Arabidopsis thaliana: one gene and its partners. The protein of the gene in region 2 interacts with the protein of the main gene of each other region in a pairwise test. Each region holds a gene or a part of one and is shown on either strand. Other genes may lie near its edges.

The links. Proteins that work in one complex are often made in the same cells at the same time.
Region 1: the proteins of CJD1 (region 2) and AT5G53140 interact in a two-hybrid assay, tested with the Arabidopsis thaliana proteins (one study listed by BioGRID).
Region 3: the proteins of CJD1 (region 2) and ARC6 interact in a two-hybrid assay, tested with the Arabidopsis thaliana proteins (one study listed by BioGRID).

Annotation. Positions count from the first base shown.
Region 1 is NC_003076.8:21,546,735-21,554,539, reverse strand, and holds AT5G53140 (Protein phosphatase 2C family protein), read right to left. Parts: upstream 6,144-7,805; 5' UTR 5,744-6,143; exon of another isoform or gene 5,520-5,743; intron 5,359-5,519; 5' UTR 5,313-5,358; coding exon 5,029-5,312; intron 4,678-5,028; coding exon 4,550-4,677; intron 4,180-4,549; coding exon 4,081-4,179; intron 3,984-4,080; coding exon 3,825-3,983; intron 3,613-3,824; coding exon 3,526-3,612; intron 3,132-3,525; coding exon 3,040-3,131; intron 2,908-3,039; coding exon 2,833-2,907; intron 2,747-2,832; coding exon 2,408-2,746; 3' UTR 1,946-2,407; downstream 1-1,945.
Region 2 is NC_003070.9:2,746,380-2,754,949, reverse strand, and holds CJD1 (Chloroplast J-like domain 1), read left to right. Parts: upstream 1-3,329; 5' UTR 3,330-3,740; coding exon 3,741-3,871; intron 3,872-4,171; coding exon 4,172-4,271; intron 4,272-4,356; coding exon 4,357-4,461; intron 4,462-4,557; coding exon 4,558-4,635; intron 4,636-4,724; coding exon 4,725-4,780; intron 4,781-4,873; coding exon 4,874-4,931; intron 4,932-5,148; coding exon 5,149-5,274; intron 5,275-5,372; coding exon 5,373-5,468; intron 5,469-5,687; coding exon 5,688-5,759; intron 5,760-6,173; coding exon 6,174-6,236; 3' UTR 6,237-6,589; downstream 6,590-8,570. Other genes in the region: PPCK1 (phosphoenolpyruvate carboxylase kinase 1), read right to left, coding at 1,718-1,767, 1,940-2,744; AT1G08645 (uncharacterized protein), read left to right, coding at 2,355-2,699, 2,943-3,008, 3,120-3,137. UniProt on the Arabidopsis thaliana protein: Probably involved in the regulation of the fatty acid metabolic process in chloroplasts, especially chloroplastic galactolipids monogalactosyldiacylglycerol (MGDG) and digalactosyldiacylglycerol (DGDG).
Region 3 is NC_003076.8:16,983,454-16,990,741, forward strand, and holds ARC6 (Chaperone DnaJ-domain superfamily protein), read left to right. Parts: upstream 1-1,642; 5' UTR 1,643-1,841; coding exon 1,842-2,348; intron 2,349-2,430; coding exon 2,431-2,655; intron 2,656-2,742; coding exon 2,743-3,003; intron 3,004-3,086; coding exon 3,087-4,074; intron 4,075-4,363; coding exon 4,364-4,497; coding exon of another isoform or gene 4,498-4,509; exon of another isoform or gene 4,510-4,588; coding exon 4,589-4,879; 3' UTR 4,880-5,155; downstream 5,156-7,288. Other genes in the region: AT5G42470 (BRCA1-A complex subunit BRE-like protein), read left to right, coding at 1-90, 178-308, 397-445, 509-598, 681-734, 881-946, 1,040-1,137, 1,219-1,285; AT5G42490 (ATP binding microtubule motor family protein), read right to left, coding at 5,156-5,501, 5,593-5,873, 5,953-7,288. UniProt on the Arabidopsis thaliana protein: Component of the plastid division machinery consisting in a binary fission accomplished by the simultaneous constriction of the FtsZ ring on the stromal side of the inner envelope membrane, and the ARC5 ring on the cytosolic side of the outer envelope membrane.

The DNA.
Region 1 (7,805 bases), on a different chromosome or scaffold from region 2:
CGAATTTTACTAAACAAACCCGGTTCGACCTTCCTAAGGTAACATTACATTTAAAAACACATAAAGAGAACCACTCTTTGGCCATATATTATGAAATTACCATATCCAAGCCACATAAAACACAAACAAATTTGCCCGTGAACCCGTTGAATACATATTGGTGCGCGTATCCACGGAATACAGATTCCGCAACAATCAGCTGAATATAATAGAGATACACAAGGATCATAAAAGAAAGATCTTGAGAATCTATCAATCCAATGCAATCAAACATCTTAACAATAACTAATATCCAGATTAAAATGAAGACCCTCAAAATCTAGCAACATTTAAACACTGATGAAGAACCAAAACCAATCAAAGCCACAAAAACTCAACTACGATCTTCAAACTCTATCTAACAAGAGATAAACCTAAACTAAACCACAATTCACCAAACTTAACCTATGGTTAAAGAGATACACAAGGCTCATAAAAGAAAGATCTAGAGAATCTATCATCTAATGCAATCAAACATCTTAACAATAGGTGTATCCAGATTTAAATGAAGCCTCCCCTCGAAATCTAACAACAATATAATCACTGATGATGAACCAAAACCAATCAAAGCCAAATAAACACAATTACGATCACAGATCTTCAAATTCTATCTAACCTAACCTAAACCACAATTCACCAAACCCACAATCAAAACTCCCAATACCATTTGCATCTCATAATCACTACGAACCCAAAAAAAAACCTAATGCACATTTCATTCAATGCAATCAATCAAACCAGTACGAGACCCGCGAAAATTGTAACCATTTCAAAAACATTTCAAACGGATCTACACACAAACGGTACAAATTCCACTACCCTAAAATCAAACCCAAATTTCGCCATCACAGAGACACCAAAAGTGTGATACAAACCCATAAAACCCTTATAGATCACTGCAATTTCAAAGCCCTAAAACCAATTTTCTCTAGTATAAAGTGATAAAGCGAGAAAGCGAAAGGGCACAAAGTAAACAGAGAAGAAGAAACCATGAAAATAGGAGAAAACATACCAATCGTTGGATCGCAACTCCGAGGATAAGAATATTTTTTGAATCAACCAAACTTTATTTTTTTTCAGATACACCCTCACAAACCCTGCTCTTTGATATTAGTTTTTTTTCCTTTTTTTTTTTTCTCTCTTGAGAACACCTCAAATATATAATGTGAGAAAAACAATGTATTTGGGTGTGAAATTTATTAAGTTGTTCAAAGTAAAAATCCAAAATTTACTAATCATGGTTAAGTTAACCATGGTTAAGTTTTGACTCAGTAGGTTAAGAGTGGTATAAACATGAAAATAAATTATTTTCTTCTTAATCTGTGGTCTACAACTTACACATGTCTGTTTTTGAATTTATTAGATTTAGACTAATTATATATTATTAGGTTATAAATTAAATGTAAACAATATATTTAGGTACTAATTATCCTCTTTGAATTCAAAAATAATAAAGTTACTTTATTATACCAGTTTTACCCATAATTGCTTAACTATAGTTACTTGACCATGGTTAATTAAACGTGGTTATTTAACTATGGTTACTTAACTGTGGTTACTTTGTCATTATTTGTAAATATGGTTATTCAACCATAGTTAAGTTTTGACCTACACTGAAAATTTAAATGATAAAATATTTTTCTTATCTTTCTATCGTTTTTAAATGGTAATTCTATCGTTTACAGCTCACACATGCATATTTCCAAAATAAATCTGGAATATAATGTTGACTCATTAATAGTTTACAACTTACAAGTTTGTTAATCATGAATAAGATTTTCTATACTTATCACATCAGCCATTTGATAAATTTTCTTGATTCACAACTAATATTTGTTGTCCACCATTTCCATATCTTGTAATTAGACAAGGGAAGTGCAAACATGGAAGGATATACTAGAAGAAGCCAAATATCAGTTAAGTTATGCGCGAAGGAGTTAATTGTTCAAATAACCACAAATTTGTTATGGTGATACTTGAGATCTACTAATAACGTAGAGACGAACGAGGAAAGCTAAGAGATGGGGAAGAATTACAAAAACATTGTTTATTGGAATGGACGGTGTTTTAAATAAAAGATAGAAAAAAGTAGGAGAAACAGAGAACAAATGTGCTGTTTTTGGTGTGAGTAGCACCAACAAAAACAAAATAGGGTAAAATGAATAGACAAAAATCGGGGACATGTCAAAAGGGTCGTCGTCGTCCTCAAGGCAGGCATAGGCATGTGCATGAATGCAACACAAAACCAAAAAACACAAATCCTCACACGTTACAGGTAGCCACAAACCACACAACTTACTAAGCAATTTTATATTCATCTGTTTCCACATGTCCCCAACAGTATGGACACCTTTCCCCGGCTGCTACCTTACTCACCAGCTTTCTCACCCTTGGTCTCTGGTTCGGTTTCAGGTTTTGGATCAGGTATAGCATCAGGTTCGGATTCCAGTTCAGCTTTGGGGATTGATTCAGTTTCCAATGCAGTACTGGGGTTTGATTCAGGTTCCAGTTCAGTTGTGGGGTTCAGTTCAGGTTCCGATTCAGCCATGGCGTTTGTTTCGATTTTAGGAGATTCTGTCTTATCATGACGGAATTTAACAACAATGCACGTGATGTTGTCTGCACTGCCACGGCTGAAGGCAGTGTCAGTTAACTTGCGGGCAGCTGCTTCGGGCTCTTCCTCGCTCTGAGCAAGGGCTACCGCATCCTGAATCAGATGTAGAAAATCAAATATTTAAATCCCTCAAACCATTCAGAAACAGATACAAGGGGGTGAATTTATTTGAGTCATACCTCATTTGGTACCACATCCCATAAACCGTCACTTGCAAGCACAAGCAACTCGGCCTCATGATCTATCTCTAGATCCTGAAAAATAAGCACAGAAGCATGTTCACAAAAACTTAAAACTCGGAGATTTCACATGGGTGATACTACAGATGATGAGAACAACATGACACCCTTGGACAAAAACAGTAAGTTGCAGTTAGAAGCGGTTACTTGTATCTCGGGTTCAGCAACAACGAATTGCTTCAGCATTCTGTTACCAAAGGCCCGGGACATAGCCAACACCCCACCTACTCTCCATGTTCCTGACAAGTAAAAATCAAGATGATATTATTATCAAGTCTAGGGCTGAAAGAAAAATTCAGAGAAGGATGCTTAATGGGCATGCCTCAGGAAATCTAGTTTTTCTCTGACACTGAATGTTTAAAGCATGAATAACCCTAACCCGACAAATAGAATGCCTAGATAAGATGGTATGTGTGTCATTGTTCCATCTAAATAAGGAGAAACAAAAAAACCAACAATAATATTGTCATATTCAATTTCGCGAAGGAGATATCAAGCATTTTGAGTAAATCAATAATGAAGCTAGTAATCTAACTCAAGAGAGAAATCTGCGATCTCACTTTGTCATGTTTAGAAGCAAGCAACCAATTAGGGGGACACAAACGAGGGACAATTTCTTATATATCAGATTACCTGCCCACATGATAACACCACCAGCACTTTCAATTCGCTTTCTTTCATCGCTTCTATTTGGCTTATGGTCATCAGATAGCGCGATCGCTGCAAAACATAAAGCACGAAGTTTGAAAAGAGTCCTTATGGAAAGAACACAACAAAGGTTTGTGACCAATCATAAGAATCCATTCACTATTAACTAAATTTCAATGTTCTATAAGGATAGTATAACTCCAATTCCTAAACTCATTTTGAAGCTCTCGATTTTATCTTTAAATGATATGCCACATTGTATTAGATCACAACGACATACTGACCTTTCCCAGCTTTAGAAACTATTGTCCTCGAGTCTCCAACATTTGCAACATACAAATGGTTCCCCACCAACACAGCAGCAGATGCTGTGGAGCCATCATCTCTGTAAGTATCCTTTTCGGACTCGAGGAATGCTACATCAGTTTGTTTATATGTTTCATCTGCCAAATTAACCATGTAAGAAGGAAACCAGATGACTTATGAGCTTCATACTTCTTAGATTATAACAAGATCTTATGTCAAGAGATATAGACGCACTTAATGCCAGCTTGGTGTCTGTCAAAAATTGTGGATGCTTCATGAGATTGTTAAACAGGTGTTCCTTCAGGTATTCAGCAGCACGTGAACCACCATGGCCTGTGATGATTAAAGCTTCAGATATTAGAAGAGGAAAAATAGAGATCAAGTCAACAATCTATGATTCTGTTTCTGAGTATTATATGAACGCATATTGCTAGTTCAAGTGCACTGCAACCTTTAATTTTCCTAAATAAGTATGTACAAATACGGACTCTAACTAAGGTAATTCTAGATCTTTCTTAACTGTCATTCTGCAAATGAAGCTGGACTGTGTTTTAGCTCAGCCATGTTTACATTGCGATAATACAATAGTAATAAGGAAAGTTGAAAACTAGGCTTCAAAACAGATCAAATACCTTCCCCAAGTCACACTAACACTTCGTATTCGTCTATACCAAAAGAAAAGGAAGGAAACATAGAATCTAACCATCAAATATTCCAAACATGCAAACTGCTTGGCCTTCAATAGTGGAAGCTTTGATATCATAGAAATCTTCCATCGTAGATCTTTTCCCTCTGAAACTACAGTACCCACAGCTCAAGCTTCCATCATCACTGTCATTGCACGTAACATATATTAAAGACCACTTAAAAACAAAAGAAAAAAGTAGAAAACAATACTTTCACATTGATCCAAAGATATAGACAATTAACGATTGCCTACATAACAATATAAAACTTCAACGTATAATGGAACTTAGTTTCTTCCATGACATAATCATCCGTATAACAAAATAACTTGGTGAAAGATATGACAATCTTGCTAGCATTTCACACTTAAAATATAAAATGATATCTTCAAAACAAGTAATATTTTAACAGCCCTATATATATACCTAAGGCATTTGCTACATTCAGCACAACGATACAAAGACACGGAATCTAAAAAAACGAGAAACAACTCACTTTTTCCACCCACCACCGATGTATCCACCATCATCAACTTTCTCAGGCGGCATATCAACTAAGGATATACGTTTCTCTCCAGCAGAAGTATCAACCATCATCTTCGCACTAGTTCTAAATCCAATTCCACTGGTTGTTCTAAATCCAATCACACTAGTTCTAAATCCAAAACCCACACTCAAAGTCTTCTTAATATGAATAAACTGATGTCTTCCTTGAGCCAACACCCCAATACGACAACCAGCTTGAACAATGAAACTCCTTATGAAACTGCTGCATACCATCTAAGTAGTCAAACCTTACCTTAAATTAGTTTCTCCAATGCAGGACCTGCATATAGAAAAAATTCATTCTGTCATTAGTAATAATACGATTCCTAAATCAGAAAACGAAGATACGAGCTACTTCAACAACATAGAACATGATCATCATCAACATAAGAGCTAAAATACAGATCCTGGATCCTTAAAACCCAAATTAAGATAACAAACCCTATCTATCTGTATGGATAAGTTGAGAAATGTTGTTAAACTGATTTCAACCTCTAAATTCTTCAATTAAACTTAGATCCTGCATATTCAACGAGTAAGATTATAGAATTCAACAAGCAAATCATGAACAATAACGAACACGATCCAGAATCTCTACTTCCTAAGCAAATTTTCGATTCAAATAACGAAAACGGATCAAATCAAAGGTAGAGAGAAAAACTAACAAGGTATCTTGTGGAATCAAACTCGAAGAGAGAAAGAAGAAGAAATAAATCCAAATCAAATCAAGGATCTGTGGTGGAAACGGAATCCTAGTATTTATCTGAGAGCTCTGACAAAAAAAGAATCGAATCGGATCGGAAAACACACGGTGGTTGATCTGACCACGGATCCGAATCTGAGAGAGAGTGAAGAAAAATTGGCTGAACGAATCAGCTTTTTGGAGCTTCCATGGAATCTGAGAGAGAATCCAAGAGAGATGGAGGGAGAGAGAGAGAGAGTGGTGGTGAGTAGTGAAAGAGAGAGAGGACACCGAACAGAAGCGGCAACGTGGCACTAGTCATGCATCCTAGATTTATATACTCCCACTAGGTTTTGTTATATTCTTTTTCCATTGGATTACCGATTACCTCACTTTATTCCAACTAATCAACTTTTTAAACAATTAGCTAAAATTAGCCACTTTCATTGTATTATAAACCTAATTAAAACAAATTATACTATAACCATAGCTGGCTCATTCATTCTTTATCCTATGAGTCTCATATAACTAAGGTTTTGAAAATAAAAAAAATTATAGTTTTGAGTGGTAGTGGTGTATCTATTTGGTATAAGTTATGCTCTTTCCGTTTTATCAATAGGGTCGTTTTAAAATTTTATTTTTGTTTTACAAATCTTGTCTTTTTGTTTTTTTCTATACACTTTTTGAAAATAAATATCTTTTTAGTCTCTTTTATTTTGGGTTATTAATAAGAAAGATACTTTGATTCTAATGTATTTGTAAAAGATAAAATATAAATTTAAACAGTTTTCTTAAGTTGTGTTAATATGTTGGAATGATACGTTTCGCGAAACAGAGAATTATTAATTTATGTCACCTAAATTTGTATTATTGATTTAACAAGTATTATTGTATAATCAAAGGTTAGTGTCAGGCAAAAAAAGAAGAAGATTATGGGTATAATAAAGTCGAAAACCTCAACCATAAAGAAAATTATGTTTATGAGCCCAAAGGTTGCCATGGCATTGAGATAAACAACATCGAAATAGAGTTATTTATGTCATCATAGGTTATGTTGTATTGGAAAATACCATGATCAATAAGATAAATTTGGTTTTAAGAATACTATGTACATCATAAGTTTGAGAACTTGCATGTAATCAAGGAGAATTTCTGAAAACACACAGAAATATATTCAACCACTTTGTGTCACATGTGTACAGCTTTAAATGTACAAAACAACAAAAGATACTACCAATATATCTCGCATAAGATTTGGCATTCAAGTACATGAGCATTGTAGTGCCAAGAAATCTGATCATCACAAGAGAAACGCAAAATTCGTTGAGAGATTGTTTCAATCGTTCTTTGTCAATTGGTCCCAAAACGAAGACCAAGAATGAAAATGGTAAGGATCACATATTACCTTTAGAGGTAATGAACATATACAGATACAATTATTGAATGAAACAGTGGAACCTAGAATATGTTCAGTGTGAATTTGTGATCATAATTAAGTAATATTATTCTGAATAACAAAACTAAAATTGATACACATTCTTTATATATCGTGATTTAGGAAATTATTTACAATTTCAATTTTCTAAAGAACCCATCACATATGGTTTTACTTTTACGATTTATTATAAGTAAAAATTAGGTTTCATTTGCGAGATCTATCCAAACTGTAGAATACATTGGAAGTTGCTAGCGTGTTAGACCAAGGAGATCTGAACGTAGTTCTCCATGAGAGTTTTTACTCTTGCTACGTTATTGGTTCTTTTGAGATTTCATGTACGTTATCCCTAAGAAACCCGTGACCGTGAGCATCATATTCAATTATGCAAGAATAAGCTCTTAAGAGAATGCACTTTAATTGTTAAAAATTAAAATGGTCATATATATTGTCCTGGTAAAATTGGTACACTGAAAAGCGTGGTTACGAATTTGTCACCGGTGAGGAAACAAACTAAAGGGCCGTGTTATTTAGGTCACAATTCCACAACTTCTTTTTTTTTTTTTTTTCACAATTCCACAACTTGTTTATACGTAACCTAAACTCTTCC
Region 2 (8,570 bases):
CTGCAACCATGAATTATTAAAATGAATTCTACGTTAGTGGATTCTTTGCTAGACTCCACGACGCTTGACATGCACCACTAAAGATTGTTATGTGTTGATGATGGATATAAACTAATTAATATACTATGCCACGTAGTTACGTGACATGCGATTTCTAATGCCACAATCAATAACATATGAATTTTCGAATAAGCTTTATTTAATTATTCTTGTGGATAGTATCGGAGCTAGTAATAATTTATAAAGTGTTATGGGCATGCTGATGCAAGTCATAGGGCATGTGAGGTAGCACGCAATATGTGATTAAAAAAATATAATTATTCCTTTGATTAGGACTGCCAAATTATGGTTAATTATGTAGTTTATTTTATTCTTTAAATAATGTAGGATCCTTTCATGCATTCATGAAAGGGGAATTTCATGTGTTCACATTTATTTAAAACGAGAACATTAAAAATAAAAATATTGTAGGCCAAAAAAATGTTAGAATTGTTAATCAAACAGTAGTAACTTCCACTGACTCAGAAGACTCATAATGAGTCACGTTATAACTAAAGAGACTCTTTCAAGAAAGGAATCAATAAGGGTTTGATCCACGGCATATACTAACGTGGGAATATCTCATGGAGATTGGAAATTTCGTTGGAGGTCTATTTATGAAAGAATATGCTTAAAATATGCTCATATCAAATAAATATTCCATATATTACCTTTGTGGGTTTTGATCTTTTTTGAAAGATTCCAATATATATTTGGTGCAGACAAAGAATAACATACGGAGATGCTAGAAAATTGAGAGGATTATTCTTATAATTTGACTTTGCAACAAAAGTGCTGTAGTTTTGAAATTTTGGAATGTGGGGAATTTTTAGAAAACAGAAGAAACGTACCTAACTAGCCCACCACCGTACATCGTGTTTTTCCCTCAACGTACTTGTTTTCAACATCAAATAGTCATGAGTGAAAAAAGTTGATCTATTACGAAAAGTGTGCATTAACTTTAAATCGGTGGAATGTTGTTATCAAAAGACACTACACTGAAATAGGATCCGCATGTAAACGAACATTTGAATTAAAAAGGTACTATTTAAATATAAGAGAGTGGATAACAATCAGATAATAAAAACAAAAAAAGATATGGTTTCTCCAAGTATCTGAACGACATTTTTCATTGCTTGAGAAAATTATTTCGTTTAATTATATGTGCAAAGGTTAGATTAGGTCTTTATCAACAAAGTGTTAGATTAGGGATAACATAAACTATTTTTATTGATTAAAAAAAAAAAAAAGCAGAAAAAGGAGTACAACTCTGCTTTCTCACATCCTTTTACTCACCCCACATGGAAAAAAAAACCCGTAAAAGGCGGAAAAAGATTTGTTATCCTCTCTACATTACCGTCTCTACCCCTAAAAAGACTTTTCAAAAGCCAAACAAAATTCACATAAGCAACAAATGCAGAAAAAAAAAAAAAACTCATCGCCAAACTCAGAAGCAGCCACAACAAACAAGCTTCTTTTATTATTCAGCTCCTTTTTTTTTGGTTAAAAGTCTTTTCCAGAGTCTTCTCTTCTACTAGGTTGGTAGGCTGGCGGAATCTAAAATGCCCATAACCCAAATTTACATGCCCGACACTCCTCCATACTTGTTAGATAAAAAACCACCGAGAGAGATGATAAGCTATCACTTGACACTTATTTATTTCTCCGAGAGAATCTTCTAGATGAATCTCTCCTCTGTTTCTCCTGCTCTTTGGATCCATGGGTGCCCTGCAACAAAACAAAATTACAAAATACCAAATTTAGTTCACTTTATCATTAAACCAACCTACTAAAAAATGGATTAGTGTGGATAAGATAACATTATCTGTTAAAAATAGATGAAATTTATTGACATTAAAAATTCAACAGAGAAACAGATCTGATGGTTTTAGAATCTTACTTAATGCTTGTTCGGCTGAGAATCTTCTAGAAGCATCTTTGCATATCAATTTCCTTAGGAAATCTTTAGCCATAGATGAAACCCCCCGGAATATCTTCGTCGGAAAACGGAGATTTCCTCTGAGTACCGCTTCGAATATCTCTTCAGCTGTCTCGCCGTAAAACGGTGGAGTTCCAGCGAGCATCGTGTACAAAACGACGCCGGCGCTCCATAGATCGACCTTCTCTCCGTAAGAATATCCCATTAAAACCTCCGGCGCCACGTAATACGGCGTTCCGACGACTCCTTCGGTGGTCTCTCCCTCACCTAACCAAATCCCTGAACCGAAATCGCAGATCTTAACCGTATCGTTTCGTAGATCTACCAGAATGTTCTCCGGTTTAATATCCCTGTGAACGACGCCGTATCGGTGACAATGCGAAAGCGCCTGGAGAATCTGTTTAGCGAACGACGCCGTCTGAGGCTCAAAGAAGGTTCCAGAAGAGACGAGACGGTCGTAGATCGAAACAGAGGGATGGACGAGCTCCATGAAGATGGAGAGAGTCGAATCAGTGTCGATGAGATCATGGATTTGAACGATGTTAGGGTGATAGGACAAGAGAGCCATGAGCTTAGGCTCGTTGTCGAGACAGGCACGGTCAAGGTCGTCGGAGAGAGAGGCTTTGTCGATGGTTTTGCAAGCGAAGAAATCACCGGTGGCCGGAGCGTAGACGCGAGAGACGGTGCCGAAACGGCCACGGCCGATCTCCTCGCAGATCTGGTATTTGTTGGTGTTGTTGTTTCCGAGTGTTTGGCTGCAAGTCATAATATCACTTTCTTAATATTTTTTGTTTTGTGTTGGTTCTTGTGTGAGTTAAGAAGACCTCTTGAGTCGGCTCTACCTTTTTTTATAGCCAAAACTCTTGAGAATATTCCTTTTGATGCCTACATGTTTTTTTTTTCTACTAGTATTTTCCTTTTCCTTAACGTTATATCTTTTTTGTTTTTATTTTGTTTTAAATAGGATTTTAGATATTATTTCCCAATCCAAATCTATTTTTTTGTTTTGTTAGAAGTTTACTTGGAGAAGGTTTGTACTTTGTAATGTCTTTTCTTATCTTATTATATACAATTTTACTTTCTAACAGTTCTTTATTATCTATTTGGTTTGTTCTTTGAAATGATAATTACTTGGTGGTAGTCTAAAATTCACATTTAAGTTTATTATCAAATGTACTACACAATTACAATCCTCTCTAAATTACAGAAAAACATTCTCAACAGATCCAGATTTGTTAAGATAAAATATTGGATCTACAATTTAATATGTTTCCAGAAAAAGTTCATAAATTGATAATGCACAATCTAGTGAAAAAGAGGTAGGAAATCCAACCCCAATTTATGCAAAAACATTTCCAAATTGAATGTGAGTACTAAACGATTTCTTGGACGAGATTGAAATCTGAAAAAGAGATAAGAAAAGTGTGGCATGTTTGGATTGGAATTGGGAGATAATCCCTGCAAGTAAGTAAACCAGAGATCCCACGAAAACAAACTAATAAAGACACTGGATTGGGCCGATAAATCAGTTGGGCTGAAGAAAGCAGGCCGTCTTTATTATTACCTAATTCGTTCACGATGGAGGTCGAACCGAGAATATCCCCCTCCGGAGGCGAGCGCCTTATCCATTGGGCCACGCGAACTATTGGTCAGGCCTCAGTTTTTAGCCTTAACAAACTATTGAGTATTGAATGATTAGCTTCCAAACATCAATCACCAACCTTCTAGTTTCCTTTTAACCCTACTAGAGCTCTGCTCTGCCATGGCTCCCGCACTATCTACTTCTTGCTCCTCCGTCATGGCTTTCTCAACATCAAACGCGCTTCGTTACCATCATCCTCAAATTTCTCTCAGGAACTCTCTTCGCGCTCCCAAATCGCCTTCTTTTGTCAGGTACTTTCTCTTGATGCTGCTTTTTTGTTTTCCACTTCTCTTCGGTGGCTTTAAAGTCGAAGAATCATCGTTTGATAGTTCTTTTTGTTGTGTAAACTTACGGATTTTGTGGGTAACCGTTATCTTCTTCCTTCATAAACATTGTCAATTGAATTCCGACGGCTTAATTCGTGGATGAGCTTCTTACTGTTGCCTATAAAGTTTACAACTTTCAATTGCACTTAAGAGAGTTCCATTGTTGTGCTTATCAGACCATTTGGTACACGTTATCATTGTAATGAGGATGATTGAAATTCTCAGGCTTCCCCTCGGAAAGGTGTTACAGAGCAGGATTGTGATACGTGCTGCTTCGTCTGCGGCTGGTAATCCACAGTCTGATGCTGACTTTAATCCGTATGAGGTAATTGATCGTTAGAGCCCTATAAAGGACTTGTTTTGTTGGTCGTTGTGTATTTCTCATGACATGAGTGTGTGTACCTTCTCAGGTTCTTGGTGTTAACCCTATAGAGGGATTTGACAAGATCAAGCAAACTTATGGAAGGAAACTTAAAGATGCTCAGAGGAGCGGTGATGAAGCCACTGCTGCTCTAGTAAGTTACGTTACCTCTCTCTTTCTTTGGAGTCCTGTAAGTGATTTTTTTTTTTTTTTTTTCTTGTTAACACGTCTCTGTTTTACCTTTTGATAGCTTGAGAAGGCATATGATAAGCTCATGTATGCCCAGTTGATGAATAGGAAAAAGGGTGTGACTTTTGGTTCGTTTAAGGTGTGTATCGTATCCTCTTTCTTGTCATATGCTGTCTTGAACTCTATGACCTTTCTTTCTCAATCCTTGGTGAATTTTTCATAATTCAGGTTTCCAAGGACATTAAATATGCTGATAAGCAGCCCATTATACCATGGGGTCCAAGGTAGAGATTCTTTATGAGTCTACTCGCATTATTAATTTTCATCATTCAAAAGCAGGATCTGTTACTACTCATGATTTACCCTTGTTGTTACAGGTTTTCCAGGTCCTCCAAGAATGATATGTTGATCAACCTAGCAATATCAGTTGTGTTTGTAAGTAGTTTTTAAGAAATATGAGGTTTGCTATTATTAGAAATGTCAGTTTTTTTTTTTTTTTTATCTGTACCCTTTATGAATCAAGACATCATGCATAAATGACTGAATTCTTGCAGAAAAAGTGACTTGTTTCTTACACATTTATGCATATATGACATTTCAAGTACAATCAGATATGAGCCTCTCCCACTCTTTCTGTTTCTTTCTTTTGCAGAGTGCATGGATTGCGATAAAACGTAATGTTGAATACAAACCGCTGCAGTTCATGTCTTTTGTATTTGTTTACAGAATTTTTGAGAAATTAAAATCCTTTGAAGCACCTTCATCTCCAATATATAACGTGAGTTTTGAATTTTTTTGAAGCCTTATGTTTTGATGTCCGTACACTTAGTGGCTCTTTTAATCCTGATGTGCACTGATGTTTGACACTGGCTGCAGGAGGAAGGCGAAGAAAGTGGACGGGGATTGAGAATGGGAAAGAGGCTTCTTCGTTCTCTTTCCTTAGTTTTTGGCTCTATACTCTTAGCATCTTTGGTATGCATATCCATCAAGACTCCGTTATTTTAAAGAATCCGTTTTATGTTGCACCATCTAGTATTAGGTTTATTCAAAGAGAGCGGCATATGTGATATAAATGTGTCCAAGCGTTATTTTATGGATGCTCCTGATTGTTTGATCTAGTTATTAGATATGTCAGGAGTTCTTTTAATTGTGTATACCTATGTTTAACTCTCAGTGAACAATGTTTTGCAGGCATACACTGGGTTCTTAAATGGCATCGAGTACATGGGCTACTCCATACCCATGGTTCTTTACAACAACCAGGTTGTTTTTTTTGCATAACTTACATCTCTCTTCGCTTGAAACCTTCTCTTAACTAGTCCCACACAAAATGATCATTTTGATCAAAAAATGGTTTAGGATATTTAGGTCAATTGTTGGCTAAGCCTCAATGAACAGCACTAGTTGATTAGGTTGTAGATGATTGTGCTGTTTGTTTTGATTTGTGACATCTATAGGTATAAGAAGTACTTGTACTGAAATAAAAACTAAATGCACAAGTATTAGGTATGAATTGGGAACACATGAGTTGGATATGTGTTGCCACAATTGCTGAATTAAGATATAGCAAAGAGAAGGGTCTGGTCTGTAAATTAAATAGTTCCATAAGTGATATCAGTCAACCAGGCTTTTGATGATGTAACAAGAACTGACTGAACAGTGCTAATTCGGTTGCAGGAACTTATAGTGACGGCGTCATCGGCTTTCATGCTCTATGTTATAGCGTCGTTTTACAGATAATGCGAGAGTCCACAGGAGAATTGGTCAGTTAGAAGCTTTTGGAGAAGTTATGCTGTATTATAGGATGTTGCTGGGAGATGAAAAGTTTATTTTCTACAGAGAGATGGGGTTATCTTTATAACCTTTCTTTTGTGTGGAAAATCAAGTAAATTTTGCAAGAGAGAAATCCCTTAGAATCTAAGTCTTGTCTATTTACGTTTAATGCTGAGGATCGCATGTGGAAGGTTTTTTAATTTTTGTATTGGAGCAATAATATGCGTGAAGTGAAAAATCTTGAGATACCTTGAAAGTATCAGTCGTACACACAATTGAAGCGTTACGAAGATGAGAAACGTTATCAACCTTGTTAAAACACAACTGTGGAGAGTTTAGAATTGATGATAGATGAAAAGTTATAGGGATCAAAATAGAGAGCTAATATCTTTGGTGTGGTGGCGAGAAAAATCATCTGAAAAGATGTTTCATAGATTTGAGGTACGAATCTGATTGGTTGGGTTAGATAAAGGTCAGGTCAGGTGGCTAAGACTGAATTCGACTGTCATCAAAAAGGAGTGTCCACTACGGTCAGCAAAAGAAAAAGGACTATGTAGGTGAAGTGAATCCGATGGGAAATAAAACAAATGTGATAGAGAGAGAACAGAGACGCCAATTATGAGTAGAGCTGACACGTTGGAGCTGACTCTGTCTCTATCTCTATATCTCTGTCTTTCTCTATTTATAGATGGAGTACGTACAGCTGCTCCACACTATATATACAGTACATACTTTGAAAAGTATATTTGAGTTACGTCTTCAACTTCAAAGCGTTTCTTACTACTAAAGTGGTACGTTTCCCTAATTCGCTCTCATTTTCCATCTTCTTCTTCTCCTTCTTTTGAAAACACACACACAAGTTCGATTTATTTTCTTAGAATCAATGTGGTAACCATATTTCTAGATGACATATCTTGCCTAATGCTTCAATTAATTGGAGACATGATGAATTTTAACTGTAAAAAAAAAACAAATGAAACATTGAACAATTGATATAGGAATGAATAATTTTTTTTTGAAAAACAAAAGAAATAAGGGAAAAAGCTCTATTTGGTAGTATATAATAACCTAAGATTATATTCATTATTGTATTTGCCTAAAATTAGATTTAGTAGTATATTAATATAATTGACTGATTTTATGGTAAAATATATACACATTCTAAGTATTACTAAAATATTCAACATACAATAGAGAGTATAAATACAATCATTATATATGAGTTAGAGGATCACCGTTTGTGTGTGAATACTGAAGAAGGTATGTTTTCAAAGTAGATCTCTCGATGTGTTTTTGTTTTATAGTCATGATTTCTCACATAGTCACATTTCTGTGTATAGGTTACGTACGTGTGTTTGTAATGTCATTAAACAACTCGTTTGGGTGTTTTCATATACGTTTTTTTTGTTTTTGTTTTGAGTTTAGAATATTATCTAATTTTCATTTAGTATATATAAGGGATGAAATGTGACCGGACACCTTAGAATTTCCACGGTATCTGAATCAATTTACTAATTGAAAATTTGATTTGACATTAACGAATGATAAAGCTTTGGTTCATCGATGAGTCCGAGAGTAATAAGAAGACAACATTCTCGTGAATTACTTCTGCATTGGGACACGTATCTACGTGTGTTTCCCACATAGAACTCAGTTTCATCCTTTTCTCGTGAACATTACTTTCTTGATAATAGTTAGTTTCTTTGTCTTTATCAAACCAAACAAAGAATTTGTCGTTTTCGATAATATTTCATTTTCGTCGTTTCTTTCTTTCTAAGTTTCGATGTCAGTTCCTAATCTCTATGGCGTTCATGATAGCCAAATGGTAACTTTGGTGGCCTAATGTATGTCACGTAAATTATCCACGTGGCACTCACTTTTTTGCATCTTTCTCAAAATATATCAAAGGAGACTTCATAAAGAAAGAATCTTTAGTGTGGAGAGACTAAAAGGTTCTGTTTCAGATTCTCAAATTTTTTTTTTTTATTGAAAAAGATCTTTGAATCTCCCACACCCATTCGAATTTCCTCTTATGATTTAGGAGATTCTGTGTTAGTATCCTTCTTTTTGTTGTTTATTTCTTTATTTCTCTGCCATGTCGAAGGAACATACAAATCTGAAATTCTTCTTCATTATATATTAGCTTCACGGTCCATGTTTTTTCTGTTCTAATTTTTATTATTATGTGTTAATTTGATCTCAGGACACCACAAGCTTATTTCATAAGAAACTTCAAATTAGAATCAGAAACAAGAGCATCCTTCTTCATTTACACAGGTACTCACTCCTCTAGTTTCATTT
Region 3 (7,288 bases), on a different chromosome or scaffold from region 2:
AAGTTTGCAGTACCTCTTGTGATGGATATGAACATAAACAAAATGGTGGTTGGCTGCCCTTGGAAGCATCAGCAGAAGATTTATCTTCAGGTTTTCTCTTCGTTCTTATAATTTTATCCTTTTCTTCACTCTGTTAAAATTGCTGGCATCTTCTTGAGAAACTTGTTGCGGATCCAGGTAGTATACCCGATTCTTCGGAAATATGAAGCAGCACCGTCAGCACCTCGTTTGAAATTAGTATCATATTATGATTTAAAATCGCTATTCTCTGTTGAGGATGTTAAACTTTCTCCATGGATGGACGGGATGTAAGTTAGTTACAGATGTACACACAGTTCACTATACCTGCAAACCATACATGTATTAATCAGTAATACTTACATTTCTATTTCAAAGGTGCTTGGCTGAATATCTTCCCCATCTTGAAGAAACACTTGAGAGACAGGTCAGTTAAACTAAATCTTCTTAATTTCCTGAGTACGAGTGCCTTATTTACCTTAATTTCTAGATCCATGAAGCTGTTGCTGCAATTGATTTAAGGAGGAGTTTTATTGAGGCATTAAGTCTTAATCTGGGAAGACCTCTTGAAGCCGATCCTGTAAGCATTTCTTCGCACGCCTTGACATATATTTAGAACTATTTCCGAGCTTCTTAACTTTCTTATTTGTTTTTCTTGCTAGACCTTTTGCCGTAAGGCTACATTCCTTAATGCCTCTGGACAATTTACTTTCATGGTAATTATTCTATCACTATTCAAGCCTTGTTTAAAAAGTTCTATTCAATCTTTGCCAAAGTGGATTTTCATACTTGTCTTCTAGAGAAATCTCAATTTCACAAAAATATGTAGCAGTGGATTATTGGGTTTTTGGCTTTGCTGTAGGTTCATTTCTTCTTTTCAACTCAATTTCCGAAGCAGCAACCAACTCTGATGCTGCAAAGTTGTCAGGTATCAAAACTATTTGTAAACGAACTAAGTAGAAGGCTTCGACTTTCTCTTTATTTATTTAGGTATAAAAATTGACAAGCTTTTTATATGCAGCATTTAAACCAATCGAGTGTGCCAGTGAAATCGAATCTCCTCACTGAGTACCCATGGAGTCCAAGATGGGAAGTGGGACGCATGGCTGAGCGACTGTGGTTAGTCTCTATGGACTCTTTCTTAGATGTCTTATTTAACTAATTCTCCTTCTGAACATTTAAAATTTTACTTTTTTGCAGTGACTTCCTGACCGACGAGGCTGTCAACTTTAAAAAATATTGTAACGAAGCTCTGCTCCAACATTAGTGTATCTATTTCGAAAGTTAGTATTGTCCAAATTTTATGTGACACTCCTCTTGCTATGTAAACTGAAATGGATTACTGTTCTGCATTAAGGAGAATACAATTATAAGCAATTTGTCTTGATTTCAACAAGATTTTGCTTGGCTATAGGATTCATTGGCTCTGTTTGCTTTTACATTTACATGTCATAATAGTTTCGAATTTTACACATTTCAGTTGGATGTTAAGAAAAGAGAGGGAATTGATGGGGTTTTGTGGGTTTAAACTTTAAAGTAGTCAAGAATTAAGTCATTGGTTTACTGTTGCTCTATATGTGTAAAATGAAGGCAACTCCAACGGTTCTTAGGTGGAATAGATTATTTAGACGATTTAACATCATAAAGTCCGTGGCGACTGTAACATCATAGATTGTTTTTTATTTTTTTCAGTAGCTGGTGATGTTTTTTGATTTAACTTATACTACTCAAAATCAAAATTCCATAAACCCTAGACGACCAAACAGTCTCTTCAATATGTAAAACAGAACAAAGTTTTTGTAGTAGCCTAAAAAGACACTCCCATGGAAGCTCTGAGTCACGTCGGCATTGGTCTCTCCCCATTCCAATTATGCCGATTACCACCGGCGACGACAAAGCTCCGACGTAGCCACAACACCTCTACAACTATCTGCTCCGCCAGCAAATGGGCCGACCGTCTTCTCTCCGACTTCAATTTCACCTCCGATTCCTCCTCCTCCTCCTTCGCCACCGCCACCACCACCGCCACTCTCGTCTCTCCGCCACCATCTATTGATCGTCCCGAACGCCACGTCCCCATCCCCATTGATTTCTACCAGGTATTAGGAGCTCAAACACATTTCTTAACCGATGGAATCAGAAGAGCATTCGAAGCTAGGGTTTCGAAACCGCCGCAATTCGGTTTCAGCGACGACGCTTTAATCAGCCGGAGACAGATTCTTCAAGCTGCTTGCGAAACTCTGTCTAATCCTCGGTCTAGAAGAGAGTACAATGAAGGTCTTCTTGATGATGAAGAAGCTACAGTCATCACTGATGTTCCTTGGGATAAGGTAATTTCGATTTCGGAATAATAAAGTTTCTTCGTTTTAATTTCATGAATTGGATAAAGGAAGGAACTTTTATCTAGTGAAGGTTCCTGGTGCTCTCTGTGTATTGCAAGAAGGTGGTGAGACTGAGATAGTTCTTCGGGTTGGTGAGGCTCTGCTTAAGGAGAGGTTGCCTAAGTCGTTTAAGCAAGATGTGGTTTTAGTTATGGCGCTTGCGTTTCTCGATGTCTCGAGGGATGCTATGGCATTGGATCCACCTGATTTTATAACTGGTTATGAGTTTGTTGAGGAAGCTTTGAAGCTTTTACAGGTAGTTTGACTTGCTTTGGTAATTTGACGAGCGTTGGCTTTATAAGAACTTTCTTGATTTGATACTTTGTTATTGAGTCTTGTGTAGGAGGAAGGAGCAAGTAGCCTTGCACCGGATTTACGTGCACAAATTGATGAGACTTTGGAAGAGATCACTCCGCGTTATGTCTTGGAGCTACTTGGCTTACCGCTTGGTGATGATTACGCTGCGAAAAGACTAAATGGTTTAAGCGGTGTGCGGAATATTTTGTGGTCTGTTGGAGGAGGTGGAGCATCAGCTCTTGTTGGGGGTTTGACCCGTGAGAAGTTTATGAATGAGGCGTTTTTACGAATGACAGCTGCTGAGCAGGTATACAGTTTAGATACCTTTTTTTAATTTCTTTAGCATGATATAACTTTAGGTTTCTCATTTTAATGTATGTTGTGTGGTAGGTTGATCTTTTTGTAGCTACCCCAAGCAATATTCCAGCAGAGTCATTTGAAGTTTACGAAGTTGCACTTGCTCTTGTGGCTCAAGCTTTTATTGGTAAGAAGCCACACCTTTTACAGGATGCTGATAAGCAATTCCAGCAACTTCAGCAGGCTAAGGTAATGGCTATGGAGATTCCTGCGATGTTGTATGATACACGGAATAATTGGGAGATAGACTTCGGTCTAGAAAGGGGACTCTGTGCACTGCTTATAGGCAAAGTTGATGAATGCCGTATGTGGTTGGGCTTAGACAGTGAGGATTCACAATATAGGAATCCAGCTATTGTGGAGTTTGTTTTGGAGAATTCAAATCGTGATGACAATGATGATCTCCCTGGACTATGCAAATTGTTGGAAACCTGGTTGGCAGGGGTTGTCTTTCCTAGGTTCAGAGACACCAAAGATAAAAAATTTAAACTCGGGGACTACTATGATGATCCTATGGTTTTGAGTTACTTGGAAAGAGTGGAGGTAGTTCAGGGTTCTCCTTTAGCTGCTGCTGCAGCTATGGCAAGGATTGGAGCCGAGCATGTGAAAGCTAGTGCTATGCAGGCACTGCAGAAAGTTTTTCCTTCCCGCTATACAGATAGAAACTCGGCTGAACCCAAGGATGTGCAAGAGACAGTGTTTAGTGTAGATCCTGTTGGTAACAATGTAGGCCGTGATGGTGAGCCTGGTGTCTTTATTGCAGAAGCTGTAAGACCCTCTGAAAACTTTGAAACTAATGATTATGCAATTCGAGCTGGGGTCTCAGAGAGTAGCGTTGATGAAACTACTGTTGAAATGTCCGTTGCTGATATGTTAAAGGAGGCAAGTGTGAAGATCCTAGCTGCTGGTGTGGCAATTGGACTGATTTCACTGTTCAGCCAGAAGTATTTTCTTAAAAGCAGCTCATCTTTTCAACGCAAGGATATGGTTTCTTCTATGGAATCTGATGTCGCTACCATAGGTATGATTAAATGATGCAATTTTCATATATCTGCATTGCTCAAAATATGCTTGTTTTGTGAGCTAAGAACATAGTTCCCACTTAATACATGTCCCAAAAGTTGTACCAAGATTAACAAGTTGCTGAGTAAATTTCACTAATTATGCTGCTTGAATTTTTTGATCAAACTGTAGACAGAAATGTAAATTTCACTCTCAACATTTCTGTTTAGAATAACGTAGGATTAGAGATTGCCTTAGTGTGGCTTTGTCCAACTTTTCTTTCCTTGATTTTTTTCTTTTCGATTTAGGGTCAGTCAGAGCTGACGATTCAGAAGCACTTCCCAGAATGGATGCTAGGACTGCAGAGAATATAGTATCCAAGTGGCAGAAGATTAAGTCTCTGGCTTTTGGGCCTGATCACCGCATAGAAATGTTACCAGAGGTGAGGGAATAAATCTACAATTCAATCAATTGTGTGAAAACTGTTGGACATGATTATAGTCTGGTGCCTTGTTTGATTCTGTTATTTATAGGTTTTGGATGGGCGAATGCTGAAGATTTGGACTGACAGAGCAGCTGAAACTGCGCAGCTTGGGTTGGTTTATGATTATACACTGTTGAAACTATCTGTTGACAGTGTGACAGTCTCAGCAGATGGAACCCGTGCTCTGGTGGAAGCAACTCTGGAGGAGTCTGCTTGTCTATCTGATTTGGTTCATCCAGAAAACAATGCTACTGATGTCAGAACCTACACAACAAGATACGAAGTTTTCTGGTCCAAGTCAGGGTGGAAAATCACTGAAGGCTCTGTTCTTGCATCATAATATACTCATATGTAGCATGTCTGAGCTTGCGAGATTCTCTTTGTTTTGTAAATTCTCTCTCTAAGTTAGTGTTTATAAATGAACACAAAAAAATTAACGTTCTTGGCACACCCTTTTCCTTGATCTAAACTATAACATAAGGGCTACAATTTTGGATTCTTTCGCAATCAGGTACAAGCAGAACTTGACTTATCTTACATTCAAGCCTTTCACAACTTAACTATCAGTGTTTGGAGACTTCTGTCTTGTTTATGTTTTATAATTGTGCTCTGGTTATCATCTGGTCAAGCGTATAGCAGAGAATGATTTGGTAAATCTCCAGCCAGATGATTTTACGTTTTCGGTTCTAGGTAACAAGCTGAGGCCAAACATTTCCTTCGGCATTCGACTTGGCTCAACAAATCCAAGCAGCTTAGCCACAAGAGAAGCACTTTCTTTTATGTGGTCCATATCTTGGGTGTTGGTCCACAGCTTGTGCGCCACTTGCAGGCTTCTCTGCTTTGAGTTCACCTCCACGCCCCATTTTTGGTAAAGCCCTATTCTTTGGTTCCATGGAAACTTCTTTGGTAATTGTTTGGAAATCCATTCCTTCTCGCGTGTGAGTGCCTTCACTGTTTGCATCCTGATTAGACACCAAAGGAATTGGTTAGCATACTTATGAGTATATGATTGATATTGATGAGACTCGTTAAAAAGGTGTTGCAGAAAAATACCTTGATGTTTCCATGTCATTAGATATCGTCTGCTTCAGAAAAGATAGCCTTCGAAGTTCAACTTCCATATAAACATAGTCTGAAGGATCACCTTTGAAGAGCAAAAAGAAGTAGGTTCTGTGAACCAGTGGTACATTGCATGCTGCCCAAAGCTCAATTATTTTCCTTTGCTGTCTCTCAAAGTCTGAAGAACTGATTGAATATTGTCCATTAGCAGCTACCTGTAGTTTCTCCTGGGAAGCCTCTGTGGAATCTGTTTCCTTAGGTTTTGCTTCTTCTACCTGCATTTTGTGATCATCCAAACTGTTGAGAAACGAAAGAAGTTTTTGTCTCCCCAAGAAAATATTTTTTTTGGCTTACCGAATCACCAACCTGCTCTCTCTGTGACTGATTATTGGTGGCATCTGTGGTTTCTTTATTTATATCCTGAGGATTTGGCAATGCATTCTCGTTTCCTCTAACGCTATCTGCAGGGCTTTCCGGTCTGATCTCCATTCTTTCGGTTTTTGTGGGAGCGTATGGAATCCCATAATCTAGCTCCGGTGTCGAGTCAATTGAGTGATGCTTCTTTGCCATTTCCTCAAGCCCTGCTACAAATTCACGGAAGCTATTGCCCATCTCAGGATCATAGTCTTTCAGGCTACGCGTATCAATGGAGGTAGAACTCCCTGAATCAAAGGAAATGCTCGAAGTGTTGGGTCTTCCAGGAGAAGCTTTTGTCTGCATAACCCTCCAGGTAGGTGATGTATTGTTACTAACTTCCAAACTCTCAAACCAATGAGGAGATCTAACACTCAAGAGATTTTCTCTGCAACTTCGGCTTCTTTTGGCAGTAAAATATTCTGGAGGACTCTTGAAATCTCTTCTGAAGGAGGGTGATTGTTGTTGTTCTGCTGTGTGCATGCTCATAAGGTATTCAATTTTCTTCTGCATCTCCTTAACTTTTTCTTTCAAAGCCATGTAAGTGTCGTTGTCATTATCATCTGTCCCAATATTTTTGCAGACAGATGATTCGTTACAATCTTTATCAGCCTCTTGTTGCTGTTTGCTCTCCCACTTATCTCTAGATGTCGCATCCTCATCTAACTTAGCATCGTTGGGTGTTAACTCCACTTCGACTGTTGCTTCTGATTGGTTATTAATAGGGAGTGAATTCAATTCACAGTCTTCCGTTGATTGCTGTTCTGACTGAGCATTTTCTTCTTTATTTAAGCATTGCTCAGCTTGCTTTGTGGAAGGACTCATTTTCCTCTCTTCATTCTTCATTTGTTCCTCTTCATTCACAGATTCCTGTGATTCTTGAGCTTCAACTGATGGGCCTATCTCCAAATCCGAGTTCTTTAGAGTTAGCTCATAGGTCTCAGGCTTAGCATTCACATCTATTGTTTTTAAAGATAAGTCAACATTTTCCTTTTCTGCAGGTGTGCTAATCTCCATATCTTCATTCTCGGCTTTCTCATTACTTGTAGAAGAGTTATAGCTTTGTTCGTATTCCAGAGCTGATAATGGTTCGTCCTTTCTAGGTGTGCTAATCTCCATGACTTCATTCTCGGCTCTCTCATTACCTGTATAAGAGTTATAGCTTTGTTCGTATTCTAGAGCTGGTAAAGTTTCTTCCTTTGCTGCAGGTATGCTAATCTCCATGTCTTCATTCTCGGCTTTCTCAATACCTGTAGAAGGGTTATAGCTTTGTTCG